Caenorhabditis elegans: one gene and its partner. The protein of the gene in region 1 purifies or fractionates together with the protein of each later gene. This does not show direct contact. Each region holds a gene or a part of one and is shown on either strand. Other genes may lie near its edges.

Region 1 (3,847 bases):
TTTCATTCGGATATCCGTCTGAATAGAATTGAAACTTTTGGAAAAAACAAAATTCGTTCACAAAACATCCATCTTTGTGACGTGATGTTTTATGTTTTCCCTCTGATTTCTTTCTATAAAAACCTTTACAACTCCACAAAGAACATCATTCACCAAGATGTTAGTTGTTCTTGCTATCTCTTTGGCAGTTACCGCAGTTTGTGCTCAATACGGATCAGGACCAGCCAATAATCCACCGGCTTCTTCCTATTCATCAAATGTTTACTATCCACCTCCGGTTTATGGATCAGTGTACTGGGATTACGATAGTGGAAGTCGTGAACATCGTCATAAACGTAAACCGTAGTCCATTAATAAATAAACATCTTACCAATTTCAGAGTGCCCACGTTTGAGAGCATATGTGGGTGAGTTCCCTGGTATCCCTGAGGAAGCATTCTATCCACCAATCATTCGATATGTCAAATACAACAGAAAAGTGACTGCTCTTGTTGTCTGTGATAGAGATGAAAAGAATTTGAACTTCCTTTTCGGTTAGTTATCTCGAACTATTCAAAGTAGATTAGTGATTGTATTTAACTATATCCAGCTCGTCACAACAAAACTCGTGATGTCCGTTCTGCCAGTGTTGTCGCTATTGGAAGCACCGCCGGTGTCACTCTCGTTTGTAATCGCGATGACAGAAGATATGAGGGATTTGTTATTGATATGAATGCAACTACAAACGGATTCTCTAAGAAAATCGAAATCACGCAACTCACTTGTCTTGGACTCGACAAAACTATTATTGGTCTTCCTGTGGAACACGGAGTACAACAACTGGCGCAAAAGATTCAGGAAATTTTGGAAGATGACTTCTTCGTTCCAGTTATTCCGTCGAGAAGGAAGAGACAAGCTGGTGGAGCAACTGCTAACAGCGCTGAATCCACGACTGAAGCAGCTGACACCGAATCCACAACTGAAGCCGCTGCCACCGAAACTCCTGCCGCCGAATCTACCACAACTGAAGCTTCCGCTACTGACGCTGCCGCCACCGAAGCTTCCGCTACCGATGCCGCCGCCACCGAAGGTGCTGTCACCAAAGCTGCTGCCGGAGTTACAGAAGAATCAGCTACGGAAGTGATCACTGTAGCAACAACACCAGCTTCACCAGATGCGGCGCTTAATAATGCTATTAACGAATTGGGAAAAATTCTCGGTCAAGTTTTCTAAATGCATTTCGATTTTAATTGTTTAATATGTCAATTGATTATTGAATAAAAGTCAATGAAAGCTAAAGTTATTTATACAATTTTCAGAGAATGTAAGAAAATTATAATATGACCACTAGAATCATTTAATATTCGGACCTAACTTCGTACCTAATTTTCGCCCGAAGGAAAAAATCTTGGTTAGGTAAAATATAATAGACCTTATATGTACTTGCGATCGCAGCAATAGCTTTTCCATTTTCACCAAAAGTTTTCTTGAAGATTATCAGCTTTTTAATGGTCGCCACCGGGGAAATGTTAAAAATGCCTCTTATAGTGCGAAACTGCCTAAAAGAGATAGAACAATAGTCTACATTTTTTTTGAATTCCCATTTTGCCACAAAGTTGCCTGAAAATTTTAAGTTAGCAAAACGATATTGAATAATTTTTAGGTAAAATCTACATATACTGAGAATTATGAACTTTTAACCGTTTCATTTTTGGACAAAATATGGTCGCGTTTAAAATTGAAAAATTAAAAATTAATATTCACAGCTATTATTATTTTAGATTTATTTGTAAATAATATGCAACGTTCTCATAAAATATTAAATCAATACGACTATATATTTTGCAGTCATTGATCACCTTTTAAAAGTTATCTTCAAAATGTTTCATGAAAATGTGATTGTTGTCTTCTTGTAGCCAAATGTTAAATTCACAGCTGTTTTTTTGAAGGAGGTCAACTCAGCCGACGAGCCATCGTCTTCTCTCCATTTTTGTCCTTCTAGGTAAACACGAGGCAAACCACAGTGGAGAACATAAGAACAGATAGACGATTGAAGAAAATTTCTTTTTCAAATGCGTTGACGGGTTTTTTCAAACTTTTTTGTTTTTCTCTCTCTCTCCAAATTCCGAACACAACTGTTAACCTGATAACGAATATTTAATTTCAGCCCAATGGGATGCATCTTGTCTTGTAAAGAAAAACCCAAAGCAAAGTTAAATCAAAACATAAACATACCAACGCAAATTCGGAGGACAGATACATTTCCACAAGAGATGGCAGAGATCAGAATGCAGGCCAAACACGTGCATTTTTCGGTTAGTTACTTTTATTGATTAGGATATCGGAAATAACACTTGTTTCAACTGTAGTAACTAGAAAGTAAGGAAAACGACTTTTTTCTATGATAAAATGTGATCGTTGTGTTTTGACCAAGGTGAATAGCATATCGATCAAATAACCATCTTGATGGAAGGCATAAATATCTTGTTTCTTTTCTTTTGATACGATTATACTTGAATCTCATTTTTATTTTACATACGACTCTTTTTTTATGCAACTTGATTTACGATTATTATAACCGCCGTTTGCAAATTTTGAACAACCGAGAAAGTGGGAAATTTATAATTTCAAAAAAATGTATTTGCTTACCGTCAAAAAGTTTCAAGAAGTTCTAGCAGAAAAATTTAGAAACATCTCATAAAATTTTATGTTGAACTTATTTTTTCATTCTTAATTTTAAAATGTGGTGATGGGTAAAATATGCGACAGTGTTTTTCCAAATTTCCTGAATTTTTTCATAATGATTTTTAACCTTTCTGGTATATTTTTAAAATATGCAAATAAAATCCCCACTTGTTTTATCTTCAGTCAAAACCAGAACCAAAGATTTGAAAATGATAGCGGCATTTCACAAAAATCAAAAACACCTGTAATTTTGCAAAAGTCTAAACTTTGATGCAACAAAAATCGCCTAACCATTGCTGGATAGCACTTATATTTCAGTGATTCATTGCAGAATGAAGCAGTTCTGATTCCAAATGAACGTCAGGGAGAATTGAAAATTGTGGAAATCCAGGAAGTTTGCACATTTCGAAGATGTTTAAAATGAAGTAGAAACTAATTATTTATGTTACCAATTTTTATGTGATTACTGTATGTATTAATATATATTGAAAATTATTTTATCAAGTTGCATTTAACAAAAAAAATGAGTACAATCATTCAATACGTATTTTACCAAATACTTTGCTGTGCTTGTGTTCCAACGGTTGTTCTCCATATTTGTTGAGAACCATTTGCAGTTCGTTTCGTACTGACGTGGAATATTTGGAAAGTTGCTTCACGATATGGAGTATGCACAAAAAGCATTGTCAGCGTTGATAGAATTCCATGAAGTGCAATTCCAAAAAGTGCAAAATTTGTGGCAGCTAAAAAATATCATTAAATCAGTTCAGTTTTGAGCGAAATCTTTCATACCCTGATTATAATAGTTGAACCAAATTGCCAAAACTATGTATAGAACGGGAAATGATAACACAAAAATTGGTATGAATACTTGAATGCATAAAGCAAAGAAAAATTGTTTTTGGAGGCGATTTGTAACCTGTGATTTTGAAACAGTGTGGTAGAGATACCAAAAAATAGAAAGAACAAAATATAAAGCTTGAGGAATGATGAGTGAAAACATGAAAATAAGGCAAAGGCAAGGAATTGTATTCACGATTGATAGTACAAAATAACCAGGTCGATTTATGACATCTTTTGGGATACATGGAATCTCCTGAAATATAATTGTTAGAATAAAACGTTGAATTAGCGGTTCAAAACTCTATCACTATAAATTGCATATAAAGTTTTTTGAACTCGAT
Region 2 (3,932 bases), on another chromosome or scaffold:
TGAAGTGGGGCTGGAGTCGTCGTGTAAATAGCAACACATCCTGGATCACAAGCTGGTTGACAGATTGAGATGCACACTTTGGTTACTGGTGGAACTGTTGAAATGCCTGAAGACCCCGAAGAAAGATACTGATAAACACATTGTGGCTGGCAAGCTGGTTGACAGGCTGGAATGCATGTTTCAGGAGCACGAGTTGCTTGTGTTGCTTGAGAAGTTACGATCTGAATCTGAAGCTGTCTCTCTACACATTGTGGTTGACAAGCGGGTTGGCAGGCCGGGATACATGTTTCTGTCGTGGTAACTGCTTGAACACATTGTGGAGTGCACGCTGGTTGACAAGCCGGAATGCAGGAAGCTGTTGTTGGTTGAGCTGTAGTTTGAATAGAAACAGTGACCGATTGAATACATTGTGGAGAACAGGTTGGCTGACACTGGGAGGGACATTTCTGGGCAAGTGGCATCTTTTGAATAATCACTTCATACCGCTTCATGACATTAATACACTGAGCGTCACATGTTGGTTGGCAAGCAGAGACACATGATCTTGATGGGGCTAAGGTTGTGGTCTGAAAAATTGAATATTTTTTTGGTTGTGAAAATTGGTCGTTCAGACCGAAGTACGCATGAATTCTTTGACATTTATAGATACAGCAGCTTGAACGCATGTTGGTTGGCAAGATTTGATGCACATATCAATGCAATAAGATTTATTTGGCTGAGCTGTGCAACTGTTGGCACATGATTGAGCACAGGCTTGTGGGCATTGAGAAGCCTTGGTTTGTTGGTTTACAACTACCTGTAATTATATTATTTTATTTGGGTTCAAAGAATGGTAAAGTAGTGCCTTAATTGGTGGAAAATTGGACGATGAGCTCGTTGATGTAGATGGAGTGCATGCCTTATTGCATGTAAATTGACATGTCTTATCACAAAGAAGCTGTGGCTGATGGGAGTTCCTTACACAAGAATCTACACAAGACTTTTGACATGATGGTTGGCATACCGATGTTTGAGCCTGAAATTTCAGACTTGTACTACAATTCCATTCCACAAAGACTTGCCTTATTGGCACAAGAACATCCGCTTGATTGTGGCTCATTTGAGCATTTGCATCGTTGCATTCCACTCCCAATCGGATAACAATTGCATTTCGATTTTTGTGACAGTTGCGCACACGGGCATTGTCGCTTGGCTCGTGTAATCAAGCTCTAAAATGTATGGGATATTAACATGAGTCAGACGTGATAATCAAGTGAGCGACAGGTCATTGTTTGTTGAATTTGCGACATGGCACCGGTTTATTTGTTCTTGTGTTATTTGTATGTGTGAATGTGGGAAAATGTCATAGAAAGGCGGAACCCTTCTCATGGACATGAAATATGATATGGTTCACTTGAGAATGGCGAGACTTGGAACACTTTGCCGAGACAGGTCATCAGTCGGTCAAAATACAAGATATTGCGAAGATCGAGAGATTATAAAGAGTCATGGATGTGCAATGAAAATACTGTAGGCGCGTAGTGTTTAGCTATAAATTGGGATGATCAGGGAAACTAACGTAATTATTTTTCAATTACTGTAAACTACTAATTACACAACTATAGAAAAATAATTGAAAAATTGCACATTTTTAACAAAAAATAAAGACAACCAAAATATGAGCTACATAATTTAAGCAAGGGATTGTAAAAGTTGAAAAAGGAAATACGGTGTTTCTGCATTGATTTTTACTGGAAAAATAAAAATTTACTAGAAAAATAAAAAAAAAACAGTGATATTGGGAGAAAATGTTTCATAGGAAGATTTTGGACTACGTTTTCAAAAGTTGAATAAGAGATTGTAGAATAAGGAAAATGGATGAGAGATATTAGAGGTATAATTTTATTTTATTTTTAATATATCAAAAATTACCTGTTCTGAATCCACAAGGTATGATCCAATAACTATAAGTAATAATATAATGTTCGTCTTCATATCGTTTATTCGTAGAACTCCTCTCGGCGGTACTGCTGGCCGACGACAGTGAGGGAGGTGCTCTTTTGGTGCTCCGCTTCCTTCCGCCACTGTCTTATATACGTCTGTCATGTTGCCGCGGCGGTAGCCATCAGGCGGCAAAAAATTGTAGGATGCTCCTCCTTTCCGTCTCGATGCACCAGGAAGGAATTTACAGGAAGAAGACGAAGAATGGAGGAGACGCAAAAAAACGGATCAACTTTTTGCATCGGATCGTCGTCCGAGGACCGACGGAAATTGACGACTAGATTTTGGATTTTTGGTGGATCCTTGACACGGCCTGAAAAAAGTGTCTAAAGTGCTCAATACGATGTTTGTACAGGGTGGGAATCTCTATGTATTTTGATCCATTCAAAAAGTTGTCTCAAGGGATGTACGCGTATTTAGACAGATCAAAAAGTTGCCGGTGGTCTTCATTGCCGGAATGAGGGATCTTAAAGTTTTCAGTATACATTTTATGTTCCAAGTGTTCGACAATTCTTCAGGGAAAAAACGTAGTTGATCATGTCTGAGCTTAAATCATTTGAATTTGTTTTTGGATTTAATTGAATATGTTTTTTTTTGTGAATATATTTACAATTCAAGTATCAGAAACTTTTCCAGTTACACAATTTCTTTGAATATTACAAAGTAACTATCAAATAAAACTTTATCACGGGAAACACTTGTAAGTAGTAAGGAACTTGAAATATTACTTAAATCCCGTTTTTCCAACTTGGTAATGTCTAAAAGTGTTTCTTCGTACCTTCATAATTCAACACCCTGCAGAAAAACAATATTTCTTTTGATGAAATTGCATATTGTTCATTTGATTTTTTCTCTTTCAAAAAATGCCAACCTATTCATTTTCAAAGTCCGTCACTTGCCATCAAACAAAAAAAAACAAGTCAAGTTGGTCATTGCCAAGATGCGCAAAAAGTGATCATTTGATGCTCAACAATGCGTAAGCATGTTCCACACATTTCTCGCCTCCACAATATGTTTCTTGCCGGGTTATTTGGTTATTTCGTTGCCTTCCGCAATTGTCCGAGAATGAGACTGTGTACGTTGCAAAACCGTAAATACACAACGCATTATCCCACCAGTGGTGCCTTCTTCTGATTTTTGACTGGCAGTGGAGCATGTGGGAGGATTAAATGTGAAACAAAACGGGAAGGTGATGATGATGCATTGCCGATAGACACGGAGAAGCTTCATTTCCTTTTTTAGGATTGCCATTCTTCTTTGTAATCAAGACAGTGGAGACGGAGAGAAAGTGAAGGAAGTTGAGAACATTTTGACCGATGACCGTTGTGATTGACAAGAAAAGGAGTACTCGTGTGATCTTTGTTTCCCGAGATTGACGGCTTCTCCTACACTCTTGTCTATTTTAGTGTAACTATCAAAATTTACTATTTTTACTGTAGTTTCTCTGTTACTCTTGCATCCGATTACTCAACTATTGCAACTCTTATCTCATTTATCTTTGGGTGATTCCCTTTTGACCTTCAAGCTTATTTCAGCTTCAAAAATAATTCAGGATTATTTTTGCCTCACTCTTTTTTGGAGCTGGTTCAATACATATTTAGAAAACTAAGCGTTCATAAAACTTAAATATTTGTATTGATTCTTGTCTATTTCAATTCAGAAAACGAAACAATTATCGTGAGAGAGTAGTATTTTGGTGTGCACCTATGATATTAATTATGTAGTGACGTGGTGCAGCTGGAAACATTGAAAATCTATACGTGCCAATTGCAAAAATAAAATGCACACTTGTAGATCCTCGATATCATTTTATGAACTTTTCACTAATAATTCACTCATGAATATTCCAAGATTTTGTTCATGTTCTAGACAGAAATAGTTCATTCAAAGTTTATTCATGGAAGACGAAAACTAAGAAATAAGTTCTATTTTTGAATATTACGTTATTCGAT

The links.
Region 2: the proteins of D1054.19 (region 1) and appg-2 fractionate together in Caenorhabditis elegans (co-fractionation; one large-scale study listed by BioGRID). This does not show direct contact.

What each region holds. Positions count from the first base shown.
Region 1 is NC_003283.11:10,793,651-10,797,497, forward strand, and holds D1054.19 (Ragulator complex protein LAMTOR5), read left to right. Parts: upstream 1-2,143; 5' UTR 2,144-2,149; coding exon 2,150-2,293; intron 2,294-2,543; exon of another isoform or gene 2,544-2,588; intron 2,589-2,994; coding exon 2,995-3,087; 3' UTR 3,088-3,167; downstream 3,168-3,847. Other genes in the region: ule-3 (Uterine Lumin Expressed/locailized), read left to right, coding at 158-335, 380-532, 589-1,211; srh-184 (Serpentine Receptor, class H), read right to left, coding at 3,213-3,406, 3,456-3,759.
Region 2 is NC_003280.10:8,799,244-8,803,175, reverse strand, and holds the start of appg-2 (Activated in Blocked Unfolded protein response), read right to left. Parts: upstream 2,047-3,932; 5' UTR 1,975-2,046; coding exon 1,912-1,974; intron 1,209-1,911; coding exon 1,062-1,208; intron 1,016-1,061; coding exon 845-1,015; intron 797-844; coding exon 614-796; intron 567-613; coding exon 1-566.